Linked DNA regions of Sus scrofa. The protein of the gene in region 1 interacts with the protein of each later gene in a pairwise test. Links are inferred from orthologs where the notes say so. Each region holds a gene or a part of one and is shown in the gene's direction. Other genes may lie near its edges.

What was found.
Region 2: the proteins of MOS (region 1) and MTMR9 interact in binary tests that used the Homo sapiens proteins (3 or more experiments, as listed by UniProt). The link is inferred for Sus scrofa from reciprocal best matches to the Homo sapiens genes MOS and MTMR9.
Region 3: the proteins of MOS (region 1) and SEC24C interact in binary tests that used the Homo sapiens proteins (3 or more experiments, as listed by UniProt). The two-hybrid records come from large-scale screens. The link is inferred for Sus scrofa from reciprocal best matches to the Homo sapiens genes MOS and SEC24C.

Annotation. Positions count from the first base shown.
Region 1 is NC_010446.5:75,735,443-75,743,660, forward strand, and holds MOS (proto-oncogene serine/threonine-protein kinase mos), read left to right. Parts: upstream 1-3,959; 5' UTR 3,960-4,132; coding exon 4,133-5,170; 3' UTR 5,171-5,634; downstream 5,635-8,218.
Region 2 is NC_010456.5:14,490,053-14,498,384, forward strand, and holds part of MTMR9 (myotubularin-related protein 9), read left to right. Parts: intron 1-437; coding exon 438-579; intron 580-2,338; coding exon 2,339-2,559; intron 2,560-5,455; coding exon 5,456-5,607; intron 5,608-8,332. UniProt on the Homo sapiens protein: Acts as an adapter for myotubularin-related phosphatases. Increases lipid phosphatase MTMR6 catalytic activity, specifically towards phosphatidylinositol 3,5-bisphosphate and MTMR6 binding affinity for phosphorylated phosphatidylinositols.
Region 3 is NC_010456.5:76,481,043-76,489,374, forward strand, and holds part of SEC24C (protein transport protein Sec24C), read left to right. Parts: intron 1-5,400; coding exon 5,401-5,576; intron 5,577-5,780; coding exon 5,781-6,149; intron 6,150-6,452; coding exon 6,453-6,589; intron 6,590-8,332. UniProt on the Homo sapiens protein: Component of the coat protein complex II (COPII) which promotes the formation of transport vesicles from the endoplasmic reticulum (ER).

The DNA of each region.
Region 1 (8,218 bases):
CAAGTTGATAGAATGTTAGTCATATGAATAGCTAATAAAGTATATATATTCCCCCTAAAATGTAGGGGAACATAATATACAGAGGTCAAGTATCATTCATTAATAAAATTGGTTTTTCTCTGAATTTCGTGATGTCTGTATTGTCAGCTTTTTAAAATTTGTAATCTGTGATTTCTCATCTAAAAAATATTTGCTTCCATATGTAATTTTAAAAACTTTTTCTTAAAGAGGGTCCCTCAATTTGTATTAAGTTTTAGATCCGACATAAGTTGGGTCTGCCCCTGACCATGTTATGCCAAAAACACCCTAAACTAGTTCTATAGGTACTGTACTGACAACAAGTCCATACTATATTGCTAAGTCTAAAATTCATCAGACTGATGTCAATACTGTAATTCCACTTATGTTAAAAAAAAAAAAAAGTTTTACAAGTCTGACTCTAAAATCCTGATATTTTAGAAAATCACCTGTACTCATTTATTGGTTTTCCAGTTCTAAAAAAAAGCAAAAATGAATTTTCGACCTTCATCCAGGCTTGTAAATCGTAATACAAGACTTCAGCGATCCAGTACGCCCGTTCCTTCCCATTTTCACATCCTGAAGCTGGGTTGTAACCTGAGATGCCGGGAAATGGTCCCCCGTGGGGACGCCCGGCTCTGGCCGCGCATGCGCAGCCAGGGGCGTCATCTTCGGGGGCGGGGTGGGGGTTGGAGCGTTGTCTCTACGACTTCGAGTTTAAAAGCCTTTTAAACGAATTTTCCAAAAGGTTACGTGATGCTCCGAAAGGACCTGAAAGGACCCTGAAGTCCTGTGCTCGAAGGAGCGTCGGGAAACGGAGCAGCTTGGCGCCGGCTGGACCTCGGGCGGGGCCTCGGCCACGTGCTGCGGCCCCCAGTCCCCGGCCCCCGGCCGACGCCGCGCTTGGCCCCGGCGGGATGCTGGCGGGATGCTGGCGGCGCGGCGTCCCGGTCCTCCGCCTGAGCGGAAGCCGCCCGACCCGGCCCAGAGCCACTCCTCCCGCAGGCGGTGTCCTCAGTCTTTGTGATCGAAATCGAATTCAATGAGCTATTAATTCTTGTACCTGTTGTCACATCTTGCGATAAATAGCAAGCTGCTGCCTGCCGGATACTGAAGATCTCCTCACAGCCCTGCTGTCCTGGGAAAGAGCAGACATGTCGAGCCTCTATTTATTCTTAAGAACCTGAGAGCCTTTTGCTCGCCAGCGCCAGTAGAACCACAGTCTCTTGACCTAACTGTTTCACCTGAGATTCTGGGGAGGCAGTGCCTCCCCTGTTATCAACACATTTTATTCTTTGCCTAACTTATTTGGGGATGACAAAATTATTGCATTTATCACATCAATGTCAATCCCCCCGCCTTTTTTAGTGTGTAACAGTACGTCAATGACACACCCTTATGTCTTTAACCTCAAAATTTAAGTGCAGGAAAAAATACTCAAATTTTAAATTGGCTTAACGTGATAAAGTGATGTTACTTCAGGCCTGGTAGGGTATATTTTAAACCAATACTGTCTAACAGATCTTATTGGTATAATCCCATATACATTTTTCTGAGTTTCATAAATAGCATTTAAGTATTATTTATCACGCCCTGATCTAAGTATCTGGAACTCTGTTCATCTTGACAACAGTCCTGAAGCAGGGATCTTTTCCTCGTTTTACAGTGAGGAAACTGAGGGACAGTAAGAAGCCCAGGCCATTTGGCCCCAGAGACTGTTTTAAAATGGATATTTAATTAAATACCCTTGGGCAGTTTGCAAATGATGGCCCTAATGAACTTGGGGTTTGTTAATAGAATAGCACATTTTCATTACTACCTTACATTTTATGAAAATAATAAAGTCAAACTTTGAAAAATGAGTTGTTCATGCTAAAAATAAAGGTTACATTATAACGTCACATCATTTTGCATTATGTCTGATACCCAGACGTTTGAGGCACTCTATCTACTGCTCTTATTTGGCTAATATTACAGCATTCCTAAGAGCATATAACAGTTTCAGAGCCCTAAACTATAATCCCAACTATGTGATGGTTATTGAGTAGATTTTGCAATATAGACTTATTATAGAATACAATTGTATGTTTTCTTATTTTACCCTTTTACTGTCATCCTTTTATACTTCAGGTTTGATACTACTGTATTTCTATTAAAATATCTCATAGTTTACACTTTTTAGATTTTTACTGTCTTCACTCTGGAAAGGGCTCCCCAAATTTTGTTCCAAAAAAAAAAGTTTAATAATTTTATCCTAATTTCTTTTTTTTTTTTTTTGTCTTTTTTTTGTTGTTGTTGTTGTTGTTGCTATTTCTTGGGCCGCTCCCGCGGCATATGGAGGTTCCCAGGCTAGGGGTTGAATTGGAGCTGTAGCCACCGGCCTACGCCAGAGCCACGGCAACGCAGGATCCAAGCGATGTCTGCGACCTACATCACAGCTCATGGCAACGCCGGATCGTTAACCCACTGAGCAAGGGCAGGGACCGAACCCGCAACCTCATGGTTCCTAGTCGGATTCGTTAACCACTGCGCCACGACGGGAACTCCTATCCTAATTTCTTAAGTAAAAAGATCAAGGCTCAATATTATCCACTAAGGCAGATGGGTGATAAAGAATAGAAATCTTATCCTAGGGCTCAAGAGACTTCCAATGGCTCAAATGGATTGTGTTTATTAACATACCTTCTCAGAACCAATACACTTCAGAAGCATAGACCTATCACCAGAAAAATGTGGTCACACATCACCTACATGCCCTAAGTGCAGTAAGTCATGATAGAACTTTCATCATTTGATGTTTCAAAATGTAGACACTACCATTCTCCAGTGTTGTTTTTCTTCATTTTTCTTTCTTTTTTTCTTGACTGCACTGGTGGCATGTGGAAGTTCCCAGGCCAGGGATCAAACCTGTGCCATAGCAGTGATCCAGCCACTGCAGTGACAGCACCAGATCCTTAACCTGCTGACCCACCTGGGAACACCTTTCCCGTGTTTTTTAATGAACAGAGTAATATTATCGGTCTTTTTCCAAAAGTATGGAATAAAAATTAGTTTTTTATTATAAAAATTAGAATGGAAGAACTAACGGTTGGACAGCAAGACCCTGGATTTAATTTCAACATCTGGTTTTCAACATTATAGGAAGGCAATAGTGGTTCTGTGCCATTTTTATTTCTTCAGATTTTTCCTCTCCTAGGATACTCTCATATTTGTTATTATTTGAAGCTCTGGTCATGGCTCTGAATCATTTTTGCTCTTTTTCCTCCCCTAACTCTGCTTCAAAACTTCTGTAACTCATTTGCTGTGAAGTCTAGAATCTCTTCTGCAAGGGAGCTTCCTGGGTGGGCCGGACTGCCATGGACCGGAAGGATTGCTAGGGAGTCTTTACATTGCTAAGAAGTCTTGCTAATTCGCTATATAAGCTGAGTGGACTGTCAGAGAATTTTCCTTTTCCCTGATGAATTTAAGAGGTTTGTATTTTGACCTGACTCAGTGATTCTGTTTGGGTCGATTACTTTGTTACTGTTTTTTTCTCCATATATGAACGTTGCACCTAATTTTCCCTGTAATCGGTTAAAAAAGCTCAGCTGTTGATGTTTCAACTCTTTCTGCCAATAACTGCTGGCAGTGATTTAATGCAGCTGGAGAATAAACTGACAATCATTATAGCCTGCAAAGTGTGGAATATTTTCATTGCACTGTTGTGGTGGACTGATAATGCTCGGCGGATGAGAATTGGGGGGGAAGCCTGTGTTACGATAAGAGAAGCAGCAGTGTAAAAGTGGGTGAGTTCTGGGGCAGCTTAGGGCCGCTTATCCAGTCAACGCTTCTCCGGGGCTTGTTTTCATAGGAGTTCACTTTAAGTGCTAAAGGGAAATGCTTTCATCTGAGCGGGATTTTTGTGCTTCGTTCAGATTGTTTCCCCATCTGATAACAACCCTCGCTGAGTAACAGCACAGATGTGGCTCATCTGCGGAAGATGGAGGCAGAGGAGAAAAGCGCTGGGCCGGGGCGCGGAGCGGCAGGTGGTCAGTGATGCTTGCACGCCCGCCCGCTGGGTCTTCTCTTCCCTCCTATCCCACCCAAGCCGCGGCGGGCTGCCCTCCGCAGGGCGATGCCCTCACCTTTCCCTCGGCGCCGGTGCCTGCCTGGCGACTTCTCCCCGTCGGTGGACTCGCGGCCCTGCAGCAGCCCCTGCGAGCTCCCGGGGCCGACAGGGAAGCTCTTCCTGGGGGGCACCCCACCCCGGGCCCTGCGCCTTCCTCGCCGGCTGGCCTGGTGCTCAATAGACTGGGAACAGGTGTGCCTGCTGCAGCGGCTGGGAGCCGGGGGCTTCGGCTCGGTATACAAGGCCACCTACCACGGCGTGCCTGTGGCCATCAAACAGGTGAGCAGATGCACCAAGAACCGGCTGGCATCCCAGCGCAGTTTCTGGGCCGAGCTCAACATCGCTCGGCTCCGCCACGCCAATATCGTGCGCGTGGTGGCCGCCAGCACGCGCACACCCGCGGCCTTTGACAGCCTGGGCAGCATCATCATGGAGTTCGGCGGCAACGTCACCTTACACCAGGTCATCTACGGCGCTACGGGCTGTCCAGAGGAGGATGGGCCTCCCTGCAGTGCTGGGGAGCAACTGAACTTGGAGAAGTGTCTCAAGTATTCCCTGGATGTGGTCAGTGGCCTGCTTTTCCTGCACTCCCAAGGCATTGTGCACTTGGACCTGAAGCCAGCGAACATTCTGATCAGTGAGCAGGACGTCTGCAAAATCAGCGACTTTGGTTGCTCCGAGAGGCTGGAAGATCTGCGCTTCCGGCCTCGGCACCACCTGGGCGGCACGTACACCCACCGAGCCCCCGAGCTCCTCAAAGGCGAGCCCGTCACCCCAAAAGCGGACATCTACTCCTTTGCCATCACCCTCTGGCAGATGACCACTAGGCAGGTGCCTTACTCAGGGGAGCGTCAGCACGTGCTCTACGCGGTGGTGGCCTACAATCTCCGTCCGTCCCTCTCGGCGGCGGTCTTCACCGAGTCCGTCCCTGGGAAGAAACTGGAGGACATCATCCAGTGCGGCTGGACGGCCCCTGCGCAGCAGCGGCCCAGCGCACAACTCCTCCTGCTGGACCTTCGCGCTCTACAAGCTGAACTGGGCTGACCCGAAACGTGTGGCCGGATAAGCATTTGTCTTTGTTGCTGTTCATTTTTAACAAGAGAAGATGTAGGCAAAAAAAAAAAAACAAAAACAAAAACAAAAAACATAGAGGTAGGATGGATTTTTAGAAAATAAAGTTACCAAAAACTCCTTTCACCCCAAATGCTTTTCCTAAGACAAACAGCAGAACTAGAAATCTAGTGGTGTCTCTCCTTCTCCCTTTACAGAGCTCTGTGTTTGCTTCAGAGCTACTGTGCTTCCTTGCAGTTCCATAGTACTGCACTTAACTCAAATTTGTTATTGGTCTGTTAACAGTTTACTTGCTCCCGTACAAATAAGCTAAAAAACAAAGATTAATTTTTCCCTCCTGCTCTTCCCCCAAAACTACTTGTTTCTAATGATCTTCACACATACAGTTCGCAAGTTGAGGTAAGCTTGTTTTTAAAAGGAATGATACTTTAAATGATTTCTTGTGATTGTGATATTTTAAAAACTTCTGCGTGCCATGAGTAGAAATTTTGCTAAAACTTCTAAACTGGGGCCCTTTTCCTGTTGTTTGGACTCAAAAGTAGACGACAAAACAAAGATGATGTGATGGGAGAAAATACGATAGCCCTGCAGCAGAGCAGAATTTAACATTTAGCTGGAGGAGAACAGAGAAGTGGAAGCAGATCGCCCAGTCTAGACATGGAGGGCATGGCTACGCATAGATTTTTGACAAATGAGGTGACTGGATCTTGTCATGAGGACAAAACTGACTTCTATTTAGCAACAGAGTTTCAGCAAGGGCTTGATGTAGAAGCTGTGCTTGGACTGTTAAGAAGGGAGAAGCAGAAAACTTTGAAGGGGGTTAAGATGCGCAGAAACGTTTTGAGATTTGTTGGTTTGGTTTAGCTTACTTTTAGGATAAAGGAAGTGAGTTTATCTGTGACAGAATAAAGAGGGGACAAAGAGAACTGATGAAGTTGATGAACTTGCGGAAGAAAAAAGTAACGCCTCTGCAAAGAGATTGTACGTAGCCTTGGAGAGAAAGAGCATCTCTTCTTGGATGTGAGCAAAGGAGGGCCAGAAAACGGCCAGCATAGATGAGATTTTAAGCGGAAGAGGGACTGGGAAAATTCACATCTGTGGGCTTCTCTTTGCTTCTCTTAAGAGTGATGGAGGGGAGTTCCTGTCGTGGCTCAGTGGTTAACGAACCCGACTAGTATCTGTAAGGACACAGGTTCAACCCCTGGCACCTCGATTAGTGGGTTAAGGGTCTGGCATTGCTGTGAGCTGTGATGTAGGTGGCAGATGAGGCTTGGATCCCACATTGCTGAGAATATGGTGTAGGCCAGCAGCTGTAGCTCTGATTAGACTGCTAGCCTGGCAACCTCCATATGCTGTGGTGCGGCCCTAAAGACAAAAATATTTAAAAATTTTAAAAGAGAGTAATGGAGGGAATTCCCAGTGTGGCTTGGTGGGTTAAGAACCCGACATAGTCTCTATGAGGATTCAGGTTTGATCCCTGACTTCACTCAGTGGGTTAAGGATCCATCATTGCTGCAAGCTATGGCACAGGGTACAGATGTAGCTCGTGTCCAGTGTTGCCATGGCTATGGCTCAGGCCAGCAGCTGCAGCTCTGATTTGACCCCTAGCCCAGGAACTGCCATATGCCTCAGGTGCAGCCCTAAAAAGAAAAGAAAAAAAAAAAAAGAGTGATGGAGGGTAGGGAGTCTACAGAATGAGATCATGGTTTATAACCATTCTTGAGGGAAGCAAAATGACCATGATCATGACCATGTAGAATATCGGTACAGTGCTGCCGGCTCTGTCCATGAGGCTGAGGGGACAAACCAGCCATAGACCAATAAGTTCCCCTGTTTATTGTAGCAACAGGGGTTCATGCTGGCAGGTTTAAAATACAGTGGATCAAAAAAAGTCACAGTACAAAGTTCCCATCATGACTCAGCGGTAATGATCCTGAATGGTACCCATGAGGACCTGAGTTCAATCCCTGGCCCCACTCAGTGTGTTAAGGATCCGGCATTAAGTTGCCGTGAGCTGCAGTGTAGGTCGCAGACAAGGCTCGGATCTCGTGTTGCTGTGGCTGTGGTGTAGGCTGGCAGCTACATCTTCAATTCGACCCCTAGCCTGGGAACTTCCATATGCTGCAGGTGCAGCCCTAAAAAAGACAAAAAAAAAAAAAAAAAAGTAACAGTGGGTTAGTTTGTTCTTCCAGGAGCATTAAAAGGAAATTCTAACTATGCTGAATACCTTATTCCAGACTGACAGCCACACAAGGATCCCTAATAAAAGCATTAAAGTTAGGAATTTGGGAGTTCTCATTGGGATGAAGCAGAATCAAATCCAACTAGTATCCAAAGGACGCAGGTTCGATTCCTAGCTTCACTCAGTGGGTCGGAGATCTGATGTTGCCATGAGCTATGGTGTAGGTTGCAGACTTGGCTTGGATCCTATGTTGCTGTGGCTGTGCTGCAGGCGGGCAGTAGCTCTGATACAACCCCTCGCCTGGGAACTTTCATACACCAAGGGTGAAGCCCCTATAAGCAAAAAAAAAAAAAAAAAGTCAGAATTTGGTTCCCTAAATGAGCATGGCACAGCTTAAACTCAAATATCTTCCCTTCCCTTCTCCTTAGAATCATAGAGAGTCACAGAACAAGGGGAAGGACTTGATAAACTCCATAGTCAAGGACACTAGGAGAAGGAAATGTACAGACTCCAGTGTCAGTAGTGATACCTAATGACTGGACAGAACTTATAAGGAAAGACTGCCGGGGGGGCACAGGGCCTGTCAGTGGCAGATTTCAGAAAGATTTGGCAAAGCCAAATAGATGCTCTAGAGGCCGGATGGTCACGGTGGGGTACAAGAGTTGAGGATGAAATCCTGAAAACAGGAGGAGCTCAAACGGAGCTGAGCTGCCAAGAGTTGGGAGAGAAAGAAGGGACAGAAGTGCTAAGGAGGGTCTAACCACAGCAGAGCTCAGGAAGAGGCAGCAGAATGAGAGGGGCACTGGTGTGAGGGCAGGAAACACAGGACAGGTGAGCCT
Region 2 (8,332 bases), on another chromosome or scaffold:
ATTACAGTTTATGAAGGCAGTCTTTACAGTAAGCTGATGGCAGAAAGGTAGAAGCAAGGTCAGAGAGATACAGAAAAATAATTGTTTCTCAGTTTGATGAGAAAAGGCTTTAGTCAACTATTAAAGCAGAAAATGTCAGTGCCTACTGAGTTTGATAAGGTCTGCTTTGTGGTTTTGTAAAGAAAGAAAAAATCAAGCTAAATGGTTCTATGAAATTTGTTACAAATAAACAGGTTCTCGCCATGTGAAATTTGGGACTTATTATAGTTTCATATTTTCCCCAAGGGACACTCTCCTCATATTCCTTATTTAGCCTCTAAGCCCTACTGGACAGAGCAGAATGCAAGACTGTGAAATATTGGGCTCAAACATGTTATTAACAAGAGTTGTTGACCATGTTGGGAGTGTCCCATCTGTACTCTGGGTTTTCCTATCAGGGAAGGAGCATCCATATTGATTCATGGAACAGAAGGAACTGATTCCACACTTCAGGTTACGTCCCTGGCCCAGATCATCTTGGAGCCAAGAAGCAGGACCATCCGTGGCTTTGAGGCCTTGATAGAAAGAGAGTGGCTGCAGGTGAGAAAAATGGCTTGCTCACACTTGATGTTTGATCTGGTTTGTTGGAAAGGACATAATATATGGAATTCTGATTGATTCAAATGTTTAAATTGTATGTTTAATTTTCTGGGGGGACAGTTCATCTTCCTCTTAGTTAATGTCTAATCTTTTTGCCTCCCTCTTTGCTCACATTGTTCACTTGGCGCTTCATTCCCCTAAGAAACCCGTATCAGTTGTACTTTTACATTCTTTGTGTTTCCCCTGTAGGTAACATAGTCTTGTCTTGCTAGAGATAAAAGTCATAAATGAGGTGGGGAGGAGGAGTGGGGACTTGTAAATATGCGGCGGCAGCATGTGCTTTAGCATTTTCTACCTTCTGCCTGTCTGGCTCCATCCCGTTGTCTTCCCCAGCCATGTGAAATCCTTCTCATCCTTTAAGATCCAGCTAAATGTCGCTGCTTTCATGAAGTCTTTGGGACCCTGACTTCCTTCACGGATAAAATTGACCCATTTTCCTCACACCTTGTTTCCTGAACTATACCCAGACACAGTGACAGAGAAGTCAGGGAGCCTTGCCGAATTCAGCTGTTTATCCCTAGGATACCACACAGTGCTGTCATATTTAATGCTGAAGAACAGCTAAAATAAAGGTGTCATAAAATAGATTTAAATCTTCCAAGCTGGAGTTTAACTTATAGATGTATATATACTGTGTTAACTTACTATATATATTGCGATTGAAAATAATGTTTAGATATATCTTGAAAGTATAAGTACCTTTGGAGAAAAATCATTTCTGGCCCTTCTGGTTACAGTTTGGGTTTATTATGTATTAATACTGTTATGTTTACTGAGTCTACCCACTCTGACAACTAACCTTTATGTCTAAGTCAGACCGTCCTAAATATTTCATGCAAATCTTATTCAGCTACATTCCATGTGATGCACAGCAGACAAATGAGTATGATTTACTTATTAACATATTACCATTTTCATGGGTATCAAAATCCCATTCACATTCATGCTATTAGCTTTACCAGATAAAGTGGTATGAGGACCCAAAGATAAAGCAGGCCTGTTTAAAACCCAGAAGGGTGTGACTCTTGGGATAAACTCGGGTTCTAGATGGGCCAGAGAGCCTAATGGTTCTTAAATTTCCTTTGGTCAGTAGATGGCAGCCTCTTCCAGGTCCTTGTAGAAGGAGAGGGAAACTAAGGACAGCTTGGTCTGTAATATAAAAGTATTCACACAGATGTCTCCATGACATAACTTTTTTTGCATGTAATTAAAAGTTCAATATCAGGAGTGACCTGTTAAATTTGTCTGTGAGAACCCCTTGTTTATCTCCATTTAGTGGTGAGGCTTACACAGCTCACAATGATCTGCAGTGCTTTGGCTGGACAGAAGAGGATAGCTGTCCTTTGTTTCATACCGCAAGAGCTCATGTTCTTTGACTTTGCTCCAGATTTCATAGACCTCGAAAGATTTATGTTTATTATCGCTGAAGTTCATTATCCTTCTATTTGATATACCAAGAACAACTGCAGTTCTCATGGCTAACTGCATAGGCTAGTAAGGTATTTGGAAATTAATGTCTTTTCCCTTAGGTGCTGAAGATTGTCTTAAACTACGAAATCCATTAAAGAGCAGCCACCAAAAATATATGATGTTCCATTTAATAATAGTTTTGATGCAGCCGTGTGAAATGTGTTAACAGAATGTGCTATACTGTGATCCCACCAGGACATGACTGTCACATTTCCATCTCTCCTCTTAGGCTGGTCACCCATTCCAGCAGCGCTGTGCACAGTCAGCCTATTGTAACAGCAGGCAGAAGTGGGAGTCACCTGTATTTCTTCTCTTCTTGGACTGTGTGTGGCAGATACTTCGTCAGTTCCCTTGTTCTTTTGAATTTAATGAGAATTTCCTCATCATGCTCTTTGAGCATGCTTACGCCTCACAATTTGGAACATTTCTGGGCAACAATGAAAGTGAAAGGTGGGTACATGGCTCACAGGGAGCCATTTTATTTTTAGTAGTTTTGGTTACTTCCTAAAGGAGACCAGGATTTGGTTCTACATTGGTCTTATTTATAAGACAGTAGAGGTTACAGTAGTATAAATTAAATTACATGAAATGTATTCTTTATTATGAGCCCATCACATGCTAGGTGAGCGCATATCCTAGATTTAGTTCTATTAGATTAAATTACTCCTTACTGGAGTGCTCCTGTGGCACAGAAGTTTAAGGATCTGGTATTGTCACTGCAGTAGCTCTGGTAGCTGCTGTGGCATGGTTCAATCACTGGGAATTTCCACGTGCTTTGGGCACGGCCAAAAACAAAAAAATTTACTCCATACACTGGTTAAAAAGCTTTTTGTGAATTGGGCAACCATTTTATTTATTTATTTATTTTTTTGTCTTTTTGCTATTTCTTGGGCCGCTCCTGCGGCATATGGAGGTTCCCAGGCTAGGGGTCGAATCGGAGCTGTAGCCGCCAGCCTACGCCAGAGCCACAGAAACGCAGGATCCGAGCCGCGTCTGCAACCTACACCACAGCTCACGGCAACGCCGGATCGTTAACCCACTGAGCAAGGGCAGGGACCGAACCCTCAACCTCATTGTTCCTAGTCGGAGTTGTTAACCACTGCGCCACGACGGGAACTCCTGGGCAACCATTTTAAATGTTAATTTCCTTATATAAGAGCATAGTATCTTACATCTGGAAGCTTTAACATACAGTGCAACTCTGTCCTCCATCTAGTTTTATAGATTAGGAAGGTAATAGCCAGAGAATCACACAGCCAGGTGATCATCAGAAGTGTGGCTGTAGGAGTTCCCGTCGTGGCGCAGTGGTTAACGAAACCGACTAAGAACCATGAGGTTGTGGGTTCGATCCCTGGCCTTGCTCAGTGGGTTAACCATCTGGCGTTGCCGTGAGCTGTGGTGTAGGTTGCAGACATGGCTCGGATCCCGCGTTGCTGTGGCTCTTGCATAGGCCAGTGGCTACAGCTCCAATTCAACCCCTAGCCCGGGAACCTCCATATGCCGAGGGGGTGGCCCAAGAAATGGCAAAAAAGACAAAAAAGAAGAAGAAGAAGAAGAAGTGGGGTTGTAGGGAGTTACCATCATGGCTCAGTGGTTAATGAATCTAACAAATCCCTTCTCAGCCCTAGAGAAGACCAAAAAAAAAAAAAAAGAAGAAGTGTGGCTGTAGTGCAAGTTTTCCTGTTCCTGCTCTAGATTTTGTTATACCGAGAAATTGTCTTTAGGCCCAGAATGATAATTTCACTTTTCAACCCAAATACCATCAAGTTTATAGGGTTAATTAGAAAATTTGTATCAGAATGATCATTAAAGGTGCTTAACTGGTAATTTTCTCTTTTGGGTACAATCAAAAGGCTTCCTTTGCATGGGAGGCAAGGTTTGTCCTTTGGCTTGGTGGCTAGGTTGGCATTATTTAGTTGAATAATAAATTTAAACAAATAACAGCTTTCACAAAAGGCTGGAATTACTGTATTTTTACCAGTTTAATATTTGGCACCTAGAGGAGTTTCCATCATGGTGCAACAGAAATGAATCTGACTAGGAACCAAGAGGTTGTGGATTCAATCCCTGGCTTTGCTCAGTGGGTTAAGGATCCAGTGTTACTGTGACTGTCGTAGGTGCAGACATGACTTGGATCCGCTGTAGCTGTGGCTGTGGTGTAGCCGGCAGCTGGAGTTCTGATTAGACCCCTAGCCTGGGAAATTCCATTTGCCATGGGTGTGGCCTTAAAAAGCAAAAAAAAAAAAAAAAAATTAAGCGTCTACAGCAATACATACTTTTTACTTAAAAAAAAGTAAAGTAAAATTTGAATTGGCAAATTTTTCAACATTAGATTTTCTTATAGATTCTTCAGAAGTAGGGGAAAATTTAGAACTGTTTGCTCTAGAAAGTTCTCCATCCACCATATTTTTCTCATTGTGCTTTGGTTCTAGTTACTGCAGCTATATGTGTTTAGTGTGATCAGTCTAATTTAATGGATGTGTTTATGCTGTTTTTTCTGTGCCATCAAGGGTATTTGCTCTGAATATTTTCTTTGATAACAGTATAGAGTTAGATTTGTTTTGCGGCCTAATGCGTGTTCTAGCCTGGAGACTGTTTCATGTGCACTTGAGAAGAATGTGTTTTCTGCTGTTGCTGGGTAGAGTATTCTATAATTACCTTACATTTTGGTCAAGTCTTATATTTCCATGTTTATCTTCTGTCTAGTTGTTCTATATGTTATTGGGATAGTGAGGTCCTCAAATGTATTATAGAAGTGTCTATTTTTCTGTTCTACTATGTCAGTTTTTGCTTCATATATTTTGTGGCTCAAGTGCAATATACATATATGTAATTATTATATCTTCTTGATGGATTAACTCATTGTTGCCAGCTTTGGAAGCCTGCAAAACAGTCTTTGTTTTTGTTGTTATTGATAGTTAAAAATGCTGATTGAAGAGTTCCCACTGTGGTGCAGTGGGTTAAGGATTCCACATTGTCTCTGTGGCCCATGCAGGTTGGATTCCTGGCTTAGCACAGTGGGTTAAGGATCTGGTGTTGCCACAGCCGTGGTGTAGGTTGTAGTAGCTGCAGCTTGGATTTGATCCTTAGCCTGGGAACTTCCATATGCTGTGGGTGCAGCAAACAACAACAGAATGCCAATTGATTCTCTGACAAATATTTTTATCTTACAACACTTTGTTCTGCTGCTAAAAGTCTTGTGTTTTGCTTTCTAACATAACAGAGAGAAGAAATTGTCCTTTTCGAGCATTTAATAGTGGTTGTATCAACTCTAATAAAAAAAATCTTAAAAAGAAGTGGTTGTCATAAAATAATTGCTTTAATGGAAATTTTCCTTCTTGATCAGATGTAAGTTGAAGCTACAGCAGAAAACGATGTCTCTGTGGTCCTGGGTCAATAGACCCAGTGAACTGAGTAAGTTCACCAACCCTCTCTTTGAAGCAAACAATCTTGTCATCTGGCCTTCGGTTGCTCCACAGAGTCTTCAGCTGTGGGAGGGTAAGTTGTGCATCTTTGCAAACCTTTTATAAATAGTCTAGGATGTTCTCTAGCTGCTTTTGAGTATATACTGCCAATACTAGAAGATGGCAAGATCTGTCCCTCAAACCTGTGTGTAATTGTCATTTTTTGTTCACTGTAGGCTTTGTTCTCTTTCAAATCAGTCATCTTGTCACACTTTTTTTTTTCAGTCCCTATTTGAGAAATGAACCATGATTATTTAATTGATACTGCTGTCTATATTGGATATTTTCTCCAGATAGAAAGGCACATTACTTTTTTTTCTTGTGACAAAAACATAAAGATGGTTAAGTTGGTAAATTTTAAGTGTGCAGTTCAGTATTGTTAAGTATATCACATTGTTGTTGTCAAGTCTCCAGAACTTTGCATCTTTCAAACTCTGCTCATTAAACGCCAACTTCTCATTGTCCCCCTCTAGCCTCAGGCAACCACCACCCTGCTTTCTGTCTCTGGATTTGACAACTCTGGGTACCTTATATATGTGGAACCATACAGTATTCTTTCGTGATTGGCTTATTTCACGTAACATAATTAATGTTCTTAAGACTCATCCATGTAGTAGCATCTGACAGAATCTCCTTCTTCAAGGCTGAATAATTTCCATTGTGTGTATGTACTACATTTTGTTCATCTGTTCCTGTGTCAGTGGCCACTTGGGTGGCTTCCACATTTTGGTGCATAAGGGTGCAGATACCTCTTTGAGATCCTGCTTTCCATGTGGAAGTGGAATTGCTAGATCATATGCTAATTATATGTTTAATATTTTGAGGACCTGTTATACTGTTTTCCATAATGATTGCATCATTTTAAAAGCTCACAGTAACAGTGCAGAAGGGTTCCAATTTCTTTACATATTTGCTAATACTTGTTAATTTCCTGGGTATTTCCTGCCTTTGGTAGTGGCCATCCTAATGGGTGTGAGAGGAAATATATTACTTTCTGTGTAAGAAACTGGTAGATAATCCGGACAAGAATAAACTGTAAGCTCCTAGGAGATGATTTGTTCCTTTTATTACAATGAGCTAGTCATTCTAGTAAGGGTCCATAAATGTACGTGAGTGCCATCCATCAATATAGTAATGCAGATATCTCACTGTTTGTGTGGAACAATAATCCAGGCTTAATTGCTGTATCTATTCTCTCTCTCTTTTTTTTTTTTTTTTTTGTCTTTGTCTCTTTTTAGGGCCACACCCATGGCATACGGAGCTTCCCAGGCTAGGGGTTGAATCAGAGTTGCAGCCGCTGGCCTACGCCAGAGCCACAGCAATGCCAGATCCGAGCCGCGCCTGTGACCTATACCACAGCTCACGACAACTCCAGATCCTTGACCCATTGAGCTAGGCCAGGGATCGAACCTGCAACCACATGGTTCCTAGTCAGATTCGTTTCCACTGCGCCACAATGGGAACTCCCATATCTATTCTAAGGAGGGTGTTTTACCTTCATTAATTGTTCAAATTCCTGAAGCTTATCTCCTTTATTAATACTAAAGCTTGTATTTTAAAAATTATCCATTCATTACACAGCCTATAAAGTACCATTTACTTTCTTTTTAATCAATTTGAAGGTAGTACATCTTTATTCATCTTTATATTAAACAGAAGGCATGCACACAGGAATGGTAGCTGTTTGGTAAACTGAACTGAACTACCATATGTGGCAGTTATTATACTGTGTTCTTTTTTTTTTTTTTTTTTTGTCTTTTTGCCATTTTCTTGGGCCGCTCCCTTGGCATATGGAGTTTCCCAGGCTAGGGGTCGAATCGGAGCTGTAGCCACCGGCCTACGCCAGAGCCACAGCAACATGGGATCCAAGCCGCGTCTGCAAACTACACCACAGCTCTTGGCAACACCAGATCGTTAACCCACTGAGCAAGGCCAGGGATCGAACCCGCAACCTCATGGTTCCTCGTCAGATTTGTTAACCACTGAGCCACGATGGGAACTCGATATGCCGTGTTCTAATATGTTACTCCTGAGGGCAGTTTTGGTGTGGAAACTGTTTGCCCTGCATGTGTTAAAGGGTTTCAAGTTGTTTTGCTTCCTTGGTTTTGTTTTCTTGGCCTGTTTCTGTCACTTCTCTGGTTGTCAGCTGTCATAGGTTATTCTGCTTGGCATATCTGTTTATGCTTCTAGTCATCTCTGTTGAGGGGTCCCCTCATTGGAATTGTGGGGAAATGGCCCCTGACAGCCTTAAGAGTCTCTGAGTCAGAGCTTTATTACTTTGCAGATGCTCAGAACTTCTTGCTTTCTTGAGTGTTTAGACAGTCACAGGTGCAGCGCACATGCTATCTAAATGAGAGATTACAGCTGTGCTTCTTGCTTGAGACTTTTGGGACAGTGTACCTTAAAGCCACCGTCATGTTTAATAACTGAGATGAAAGACTAGCTACCTGGGAAGAAAGCCAGATTTGGGAGTTGGAGGGCCTGAAGACCTATTTTACTAGTTTTTACTAAACTTCATTGAGAGTTTAGGGATTATGCGATAGAAGAAAATTTCTGTTGTTATATGAGTAAATTCCTGCTACTCCATTAAGAACGTGGTTTCCCTGTATGTTTAGTGCCGCTTCAACTTAGAACTGGAAGAAATTCTGTGTTAGGTAAAATCGTCTTATGGTAGGTATATGGATTGTGTAATGACACTACTCTGGCCTTAAAACATTTCTCTGCTGTTTATATTTACATCATAGTTAACAATCAATATT
Region 3 (8,332 bases), on another chromosome or scaffold:
GGGTCGAATTGGAGCTGTAGCTGCTGGCCTACACCACAACCACAGCAACATCAGATCTGAGCCAGGCCTGTAACCTACACCACAGCTCACGGCAATGCCAGATTCTTAACCCAGTGACGAAGGCCAGGGATCGAACCTGCATCCTCCTGGATGCTAGTCAGATTTGTTTCTGCTACGCCATGATGGGAATTCCCCCTTTTTTCCCCCCTCATTTTTGGTTGCCCCACAGCAAATGGAATTCCTGGGCCAGGGATCAAATCTGAGCTGCAGTTTTGACCTAAGCTGCAGCTGTGGCAACGCCGGATCCTTAACCCACTGTGCCAGGCTGGGGATCCAACCTGAGTGCCAGTGATCCCAAGATACCGAAGATCCTGTTGCACCACAACAGGAACTCCTTTTTTTTTTTTTTTTTTTTCTTTTTCTTTCTTTCTTTTTAGGACTGCACCTTCAGCATATGGTAGTTCCTGGGCCAGGAGTTGAATCGGAGCTATAGCTACTGGCTTACACCACAGCCACAGCAATGCCAGATCCAGCCACATCTGTGACCTACACTAGAGCTTGTGACAACACTGGATCCTTAATCCACTGAGTCAGTCTCAGCTTCTTAACCTGCTGAGCCACAAGGAGAATTCCATTATGTTTTATCCCAAGAGATTGGATATAGTTCCCTGTGCTGTACAGCAGGACCTTATTGCTCATCCAAGTACATTATAGGTTTAAGAAAGCTGCCAGCTACCAAGTAGAGATGTTGAGTAGACAGTTGTATAACAGATGTGCAGCTGAGGAATGATGTCAGGACTGGAGATATAAATTAGGGAGCCTTTGGTATAGAGACAGTACTTAAAGCCATGGGCACTAGATGAAATCACTTAGGAAGTGAGCATTGAGATTAAATAATAGAATTGAGGACTGAGTTTTGGAGCTTACCCAAAAAAAATTTTTTTTTTCTTTTCTTCTTTTTGGCTGCACCCGCAGCATGTGGAAGTTCCTGGGCCAGGGGTCAAATTGACGCCACAGCAGTGACCTGAGCCATAGCAGTGACAGTGCTGGATCCTTAACCCGCTGAACCACAACAGGAACTCCTTTTCTTTCATTTTTTAAAGTTTTATTGAAGTACAGTTGATTTACAACATTGTTCTAATTTCTCCTGTACAGTACCCATTGAGTTATAGACATACACATATCCATTCTCTTCTGGGTCCTTTTCCCATATAGGCTATCATGGAATATCGAGTAGAGTTCCCTGTGCTATATAGCAGGTCCCTGCTGACCATCTATTCCATATACAGTAGTGTACATCTGCCAATCCCAAACCCCCAGTCCATCTATTACCATCATTTAAAAGGCAGTCAGGAGTTCCTGTGGGGCTCAGCAGGTTAAGAACCTGATATAGTATCCGTGAAGATATGGGTTCGATCCCTGGCCTTGCTCAGTGGGCTAAGGATCCAGCATTGCCGCAAGCTGCAGTGTAGGTCACAGATGGGCCGCATCAGGTGTTGCTGTGGATGTGGTGTAGGCCTGTAGCTACAGCTCTGATTCAACTTCTGCCCTGGGAATTTTCATGTGCTTCAGGTGTGGCCCTAAAAAAGAAAAAAAATAAAATAAAATACATAGCATTTTAAGATATTAAATAGTGGGAAAAAAAAAAAAAAAAAAAAGGCCAGTCAGAAGGGAAGCCACCAAACGACAATGAGAAAGCAGTCACGAGGTAGGAATTAGCCAAGACAGAAAAACATCTTGAAAGTAGGTGAAGAAAGTATTTTAGTAGGTCAAGAGAGTAATCTACTGGATCATTTGCTGCTGAAAGGTGAAATGTGGACTGAGAATTGACCATTGGGCTTGGACAAATGTAGTTTCAGTGGACATATGAAAGCAGCTGTCTAGTTAGGTCTAAGATTTTCAGCTAGGAAGTAGATTAATATAACCTAAAAACTCTTCTATGACAAACATCTAGAAAGGAGGGAGGAAATGGAATTTTTTTTTTTTTTCAAATGCATAGTCAAACTTAAAGTCTCAAGTGCCAGAGACCAAGTGAGAACTGAAAATCAGAGTGGTAAGCTGACACTGTGGCTGCCTAGGGAGAGGGTGGAAATGATCATCTTGGGAACCTGGGGACTTAAGTTTAAGCAGATATCTTGCACTTTTCTGAGCCAAGGTTTAGAATTGAGACTTGTTTATGAAGTTTGGACCTGGTCTACACCTTCATTGAACAGGTAGACTAGGGAAAAAAATCTGCACCCTGGCAGAGGGAAATAATAAGGGGTCCCATTTCTCTAAAAAGAAAGGTTTCAGGGCTACAAATAGATACGAGGGGTTTTTGAGGGCAGTGAAAACATTCTAAAATTGGATTCTGGTGATGGCTGTTTTGTTTGTTATTTGTTTTTTGGCCACCCCAGGGCATGTGCAGTTCTCAGGCCAGGGACCTATGTCGCAGCTGTGGCAACACCAAGTTCCTAGCCCACTCTTCTGGGCCAGGCAATCAAATTTGTGTCTTGGTAGAGATAGGACACAAGAGACAGAGACACCACTAATCCTGTTGTGCCACAGTGGGAATTCCTCTGGTGATAGTTGTATAACTCTATAAATTTACTAAAAACAGTTGATTTTTAGAATCAAACACTTAAAAGGATTTTTTTTTTTTTTTTAAAAGAGTGGCGCCCACGGCATGTGGAAGTTCCCAGGCTAGGGGTCAAATTAGAGCTCCAGCTGCTGGCCATAGCCACAGCCACAGCAATGTGGGATCCCAGTCATGTCTGAAACTTACACCATAGCTAATGGCAATGCCAGGTCAAAAGGACTGAATTTAATGGTATGGAAATTATATCTTAAAGCTTTAAAAAATTTTTTGATCTTGTGTGGCAATATCATTGGAGTACCATCCAGAATCAAATGTGAAATAGTCATGCTCCCTCAACCCAGGCCATAAAGGTCTCTCACAGGAAAAAATAGTGATTAGAGTAAATAAGAGGAGTTCCCACTGTAGCGCAACAGGAGCCCCAGGGCACCGAATCAATCTCCGCCCTGGCACAGTGGGTTAAGGATCCAGTGTTGCCTCAACTATGGCGTAGGTTGCAACTGCAGCTTGGAGCTCATCTCTGGCCTGGGAACTCCATATGCTGTGGGACGGCCACAAAAGGAGAAAAAAAAAAAAAGCTGCTTATATGTGGAATCTCAAAAAAGGATACAGGAGTTCCCGTCGTGGCTCAGTGGTTAACGAATCCAACTAGGAACCATGAGGTTGCAGGTTCGGTTCCTGGCCTTGCTCAGTGGGTTAAGGATCTGGCATTGCCGTGTGCTGTGGTGTAGGTCACAGACGCAGCTCTGATCCCGAATTGCTGTGTCTCTGCTGTAGGCCGGTAGCTACAGCTCCGATTAGACCCCTAGCATGGGAACCTCCACATGCTGCGGGAGCTGCCCAAGAAAATGGCAAAAAGACAAAAATAAATAAATAAATAAAATAAAAATTTAAAAAAAGGATACAAATGAACTTATTTGCAGGACAGAAACAGACTTACAGACTTTGAAAGACATATGGTTACCAAAGGAGACAGGCGTAGGGAAGAGATGGCTTGGGATTGGCATATACTCACTGAGGTATATGGGATGATTGGCTAATGGGGACCTGCTGTAGAGCACAGAGAACTCTACCCATTATTGTCTGATAATTTATGAGGGGAAAGAATATGAAAGAGAAGGAGTTCCCATTGTAGTGCAGGGGAAATGAATCTGACTAGGAACCATGAGTTTGAGGGTTTGATCCTGCCTCGCTCAGTGGGTTAAGGATCTGGTGTTGCTGTGAACTGCGGTGTAGGTTGAAGACGTGGCTTGGATCTGGCATTGCTGTGGCTGTGGCATAGGCCAGCAGCTGTAGCCCCCATTCGACCCTTAGCCTGGGAACATCCACATGCCATGCAGAGGCTGCAGTCCTAAAAAGCAAAAAAAAAAAAAAAAAAAAAGGAAAAAAAAGAATCTGAAAGAGCAAAAGTAAATAAATAAGAAACTTTTAGAGGAGAGCATATAGTAGACTAATACCTTATAAGCATTAAGGGAACATATCTATCAACATAGAGATATGTACCTAGCTAAGAGAGGGGGCAAATAAAGACATTTACAGGGAGTTCCCATAGTGGCTCAGCGGAAACAAATTTGACTACCATCCCTGAAGACGCAGGTTCTATCCCTGGCCTCTCTCAGTGGGTTAAGGATTCAGCATTGCCGTGAGCTATGGTGTAGGTCACAAACGCTGCTTAGATTTGGCCTTGCTGTGGCTGTAGTGTAGGCCAGCGGCTACAGCTCTGATTCAACCCCTAGCTTTCCATATGCTGTGGGTGAGGCCCTTAAAAGACCAAAAAAAAAAAAAAAAAGACATTTTCAGACTGAGTTTACCATGTATAGACCCTTGCTGAGAAAACTACTAAGGGATAGACTAAGAAAAACATGGAAATGAACCTAGAAAGATCTTTAGGAGTTCCCGCAGTGGTGCAGTGGGTTAAGAATCCAAAGGTAGCCGCTCAGGTTGCTGCAGAGGCTTGGGTTCTATCCCCAGCCTGGCGTAGTGGGTTAAAGGATCTGGTGTTGATGCAGTTGTGGGCACTGACACAGTTGTCATGTAGGTTGTGGCTGTGCCTCAGATTGAGTCTCTGGCTTGGGAACTTTTATGTGCCATGGGTGCAGCCATAAAGAAAAAGAAAATTTTAAAAAAGGGAGAAAGATCTTTGGAGAGAGAGAGGAATAGTAATTAAAGAAGTAGAGATAGAAACAGCATAGACTAATCCTTTTGTAAATGTTTGGCTAAAAGAAGAGCAAAAGCTTGAGGGAGCTGTGAGGTTATAGGGCAATTTTATTTGATCGGATTTTTTTTCCTTTTTTTTTTTCCACCCTTTTTCAGCTGCCCCCCACCCCCTTTGGCGTATGGAATTTCCGGGCCATGGATCAGATCTGAACTTCTGTTGTAACCTACGCCGCAGCTGGGGCAACGCCAGATCCTTAACCCACTCTTGGGAGTGATGGGGGCTGAACATGCATCCCAGGGCTCCAGAGATGCTGCCAGTCTCATTGCACACCACAAAGCATGGAGAACTCCCTGGTTGGCTTTTTAAACAACTTAATTTAGATGTAATTCATGTACCATGGGATTCATGCATTTAAAGTATACAAAGGCAGGATTGCTCTTGTGGTATAGCAGGTTAAGGATCTGATGTCACTGCAGCCACTTGAGTCACTTCAGCCGCTTGTGGTGCAGCTTTGATCCCTGGCCTGGAAACTTCCATATGCTGTGGTTATGGCCAAAACCAAAACCAAACAAAAAATGATGCTGTAAAACAATATAGCTTCCTATATGATGTGGAGCTTCTGCCAACTTTGAAGGATGTCCCAGCCTCTGCTTCCTTCTCTTCACAGGCTCCCTGGGTCTCAGCCATTCGGGTCGGCCCCATTGGCCCCTGTGGTCAGCCAGCCAGCTGTGCTTCAGCCCTATGGCCCTCCCCCGACAAGTGCACAGGTGACTGCTCAGCTGGCTGGAATGCAGATCAGTGGTGCTGTGGCCCCAGCCCCTCCCCCTTCAGGGCTGGGCTATGGTGAGTAGCTATGACCATAGGAATGTTACTGTCCCCTTGATTTTTTAGAAGCTGGGGGTATACCTGAATCCCTTTTATTTCTTGTGCTTTTGAGCCCCGGCAGATGGGACAGTCATCCCTGTCCCTCGTGTGGAAAGGAAAATGATTTACTGAACAAGGAGGCAGAATGACTGGGGTTCTGACTCTACTTCTTCTACTTCTCAGGCCCACCAACATCGCTGGCCTCAGCCTCAGGAAATTTCCCTAACTCTGGTCTGTATGGCTCCTATCCTCAGGGCCAGGCTCCACCCCTTGGCCAGGCCCAGGGCCATCCTGGGGCCCAGCCTCCCCAGCGATCTGTCCCACCACAGGCCTCCAGCTTCACACCCCCAACTTCAGGGGGTCCTCGGATGCCTTCGATGACTGGTCCACACCTGCCTGGTCAGAGTTTTGGGGGGCCCCCAGGGAGCCAGCCCAACCATGTGTCCTCACCTCCTCCTCAAGCTCTGCCCTCTGGCAGCCAAATGACTGGGCCCCCAGGACCACCACCTATGCACTCTTCCCAGCAGCCAGGCTATCAGCTGCAGCAAAATGGTAAGTTTTTCTCAAGGTCTGCCTAGGAGCCAAGGGCTTCAGCTATTCAGTTGTTTTTGTTGTTATTTTTATTTGCTTTTAGTATTGCTTGCTAAGTGGTGAACTAGATGGACAGCCTCACTTTCACTAGAATGAAGGGTTTATAAATTTTTTTCCCCATAGTTCAGATAGTGTGGTCTTTCTCTGAATGGCCATTACTGTACCTCACAATTCTACATTTAGAGGAGTCGAGTCATTTCCCTGAGGCCTTAAGAGATAGGGAAGGAATTTTCTGTTCATCAACCTTCTGCCCTTGTCTCTCAGGTTCCTTTGGACCATCCCGGGGCCCTCAGCCCAATTATGGAAGCCCCTACCCAGGAGCAGCCACTTTTGGCAGTCAACCGGGGCCTCCTCAACCACTGCCTCCTAAGCGCCTGGACCCTGATGCCATCCCAAGTCCTGTAAGTAGATACTTATGTGGTCCTGGAGAAGGAGCTTATGGCTGCCACATAAGTGAGTCAACCGAGATGAGATGTTTGCCTAGCATTTTCTGATTATTTTCCCTTTTAATTTATCATCTTGTAAGTGTAGAACCTGGATGTAATTTTTGTTTTTCGTCATGCCTGCACAGCAGTTCCTGGGCCAGGGATCAAATCCATGCCACAGCAGCGACCCAAGCCATAGCAGTGACAACAATGGATCCTTAACTGCTAGGCCACCAGGGGACTCCTAGACGGCTTTTTTTTTTTTTTTTTTTTTGGTCTTTTTTTGCCTTTTCTAGGGCCGCTCCCATGGCATATGGAGGTTCCCAGGCTAGGGGTCGAATCAGAGCTGTAGCCACTGGCCTATGCCAGAGCCACAGCAATGCCAGATCAGAGCCGCGTCTGTGACCTACACCACAGCTCACAGCAACACCAGATCCTTAACCCACTGAGCAAGGCTAGGGATCAAACTCGCAACGTCATGGTTCCTAGTCGGATTCGTTAACCATTGAACCACAGCGGGAATTCCTAGATGTCATTTTTGACTTTTTAACTGGAAGTCTCAGAAGTCCCTTTTTTTTTTTTTGTCTTTTTTAGGAAGAGGTATATGGAAGTTCCCAGGCTAGGGATCAGTTTGGAGTGGTAGCTGCCAACCTATACTACAGCCACAGCAACACAGGATCTGAGCCCCATCTGTGACCTACACTGAAGCTAACAGCAATGCTGGATCTTTAACCTGCTGAGCAAGGCCAGGGATTGAACCCGTGTGTTCTCATGTATCCTAGTTGGGTTCACTACTGCTGAACCACAATGGGAACTCCTCAAGAAGTCTTTTGGGAGCATTTTTACTATATAGTTGGGCAGGAAAGGAAGGAAAGCCGGGACTGATCAGCTGTGTCAGCAGATCTCTGGGCTGAGTGCTGAATTCTGTTGCTATCGGACATAGCATGGTAACCTCTGCTCTTCTGTAGAGTAGCGGCTGGGCCCAGGTCTTGTCCTCTTAGATCTAGTTGGAATAGCATTCTGCTTAATGGGTAGGAATTCTTTGGTCTTAGTTGTTAAGGAAGGCCTCTCTGGTTTCTCTGTGCCCCTGCTTGGGCAGTGTTTTAGAAGGAAGCCTCTACTACTTTTGTTTGCTAGGCTCCTGCTGTATGGATGGGGAAAAGTGATCTACAGTCTAGGGGCAGTGTGGGGAAGAGGCTTCTTCCAGAAAGAGGGTGAATCTCACCCCTAGAACCATCAGAATCCTCAAGCCTTCCTCATCATATCAGAATAGAGGCTGGGAGTATATTTCCAAGTGGAGGCCACCTTATAGTTCTGTCTGCAACATTTGCAATGTCGATTCTCTCACCATGCTTAGCCATTGTCATATTCCATTCTGTTCTCTTTCCTCTTCCTTTGGGGAGCTACCATGGTGAGGGATCCAGTTGGCTGAGGGGAACCCAAAAGAATTAAACAGCCTTTCCTTCCTTTTCCCTCCTTCATTGAGGAGGAGAGTCTGGTTGGATGTGAGGGGAGGTTTCTTTCAGCAGAAGAGGAGTCCTTAGATGGGAAACTTGGCCTTTTGAAGGGAACATCCCTCTTCTTTCTTCTTAAGATTTCTCCCATTCAGCCCCTCCTTATTTAATGCCTCTTGCCTCCTGTTTGCCCCCTTCCATAACTTTCTACATCATAGTCTGAGCCATGAAAGGCTCTTTTTTGGCCCAGAAAAACTTGGAATTT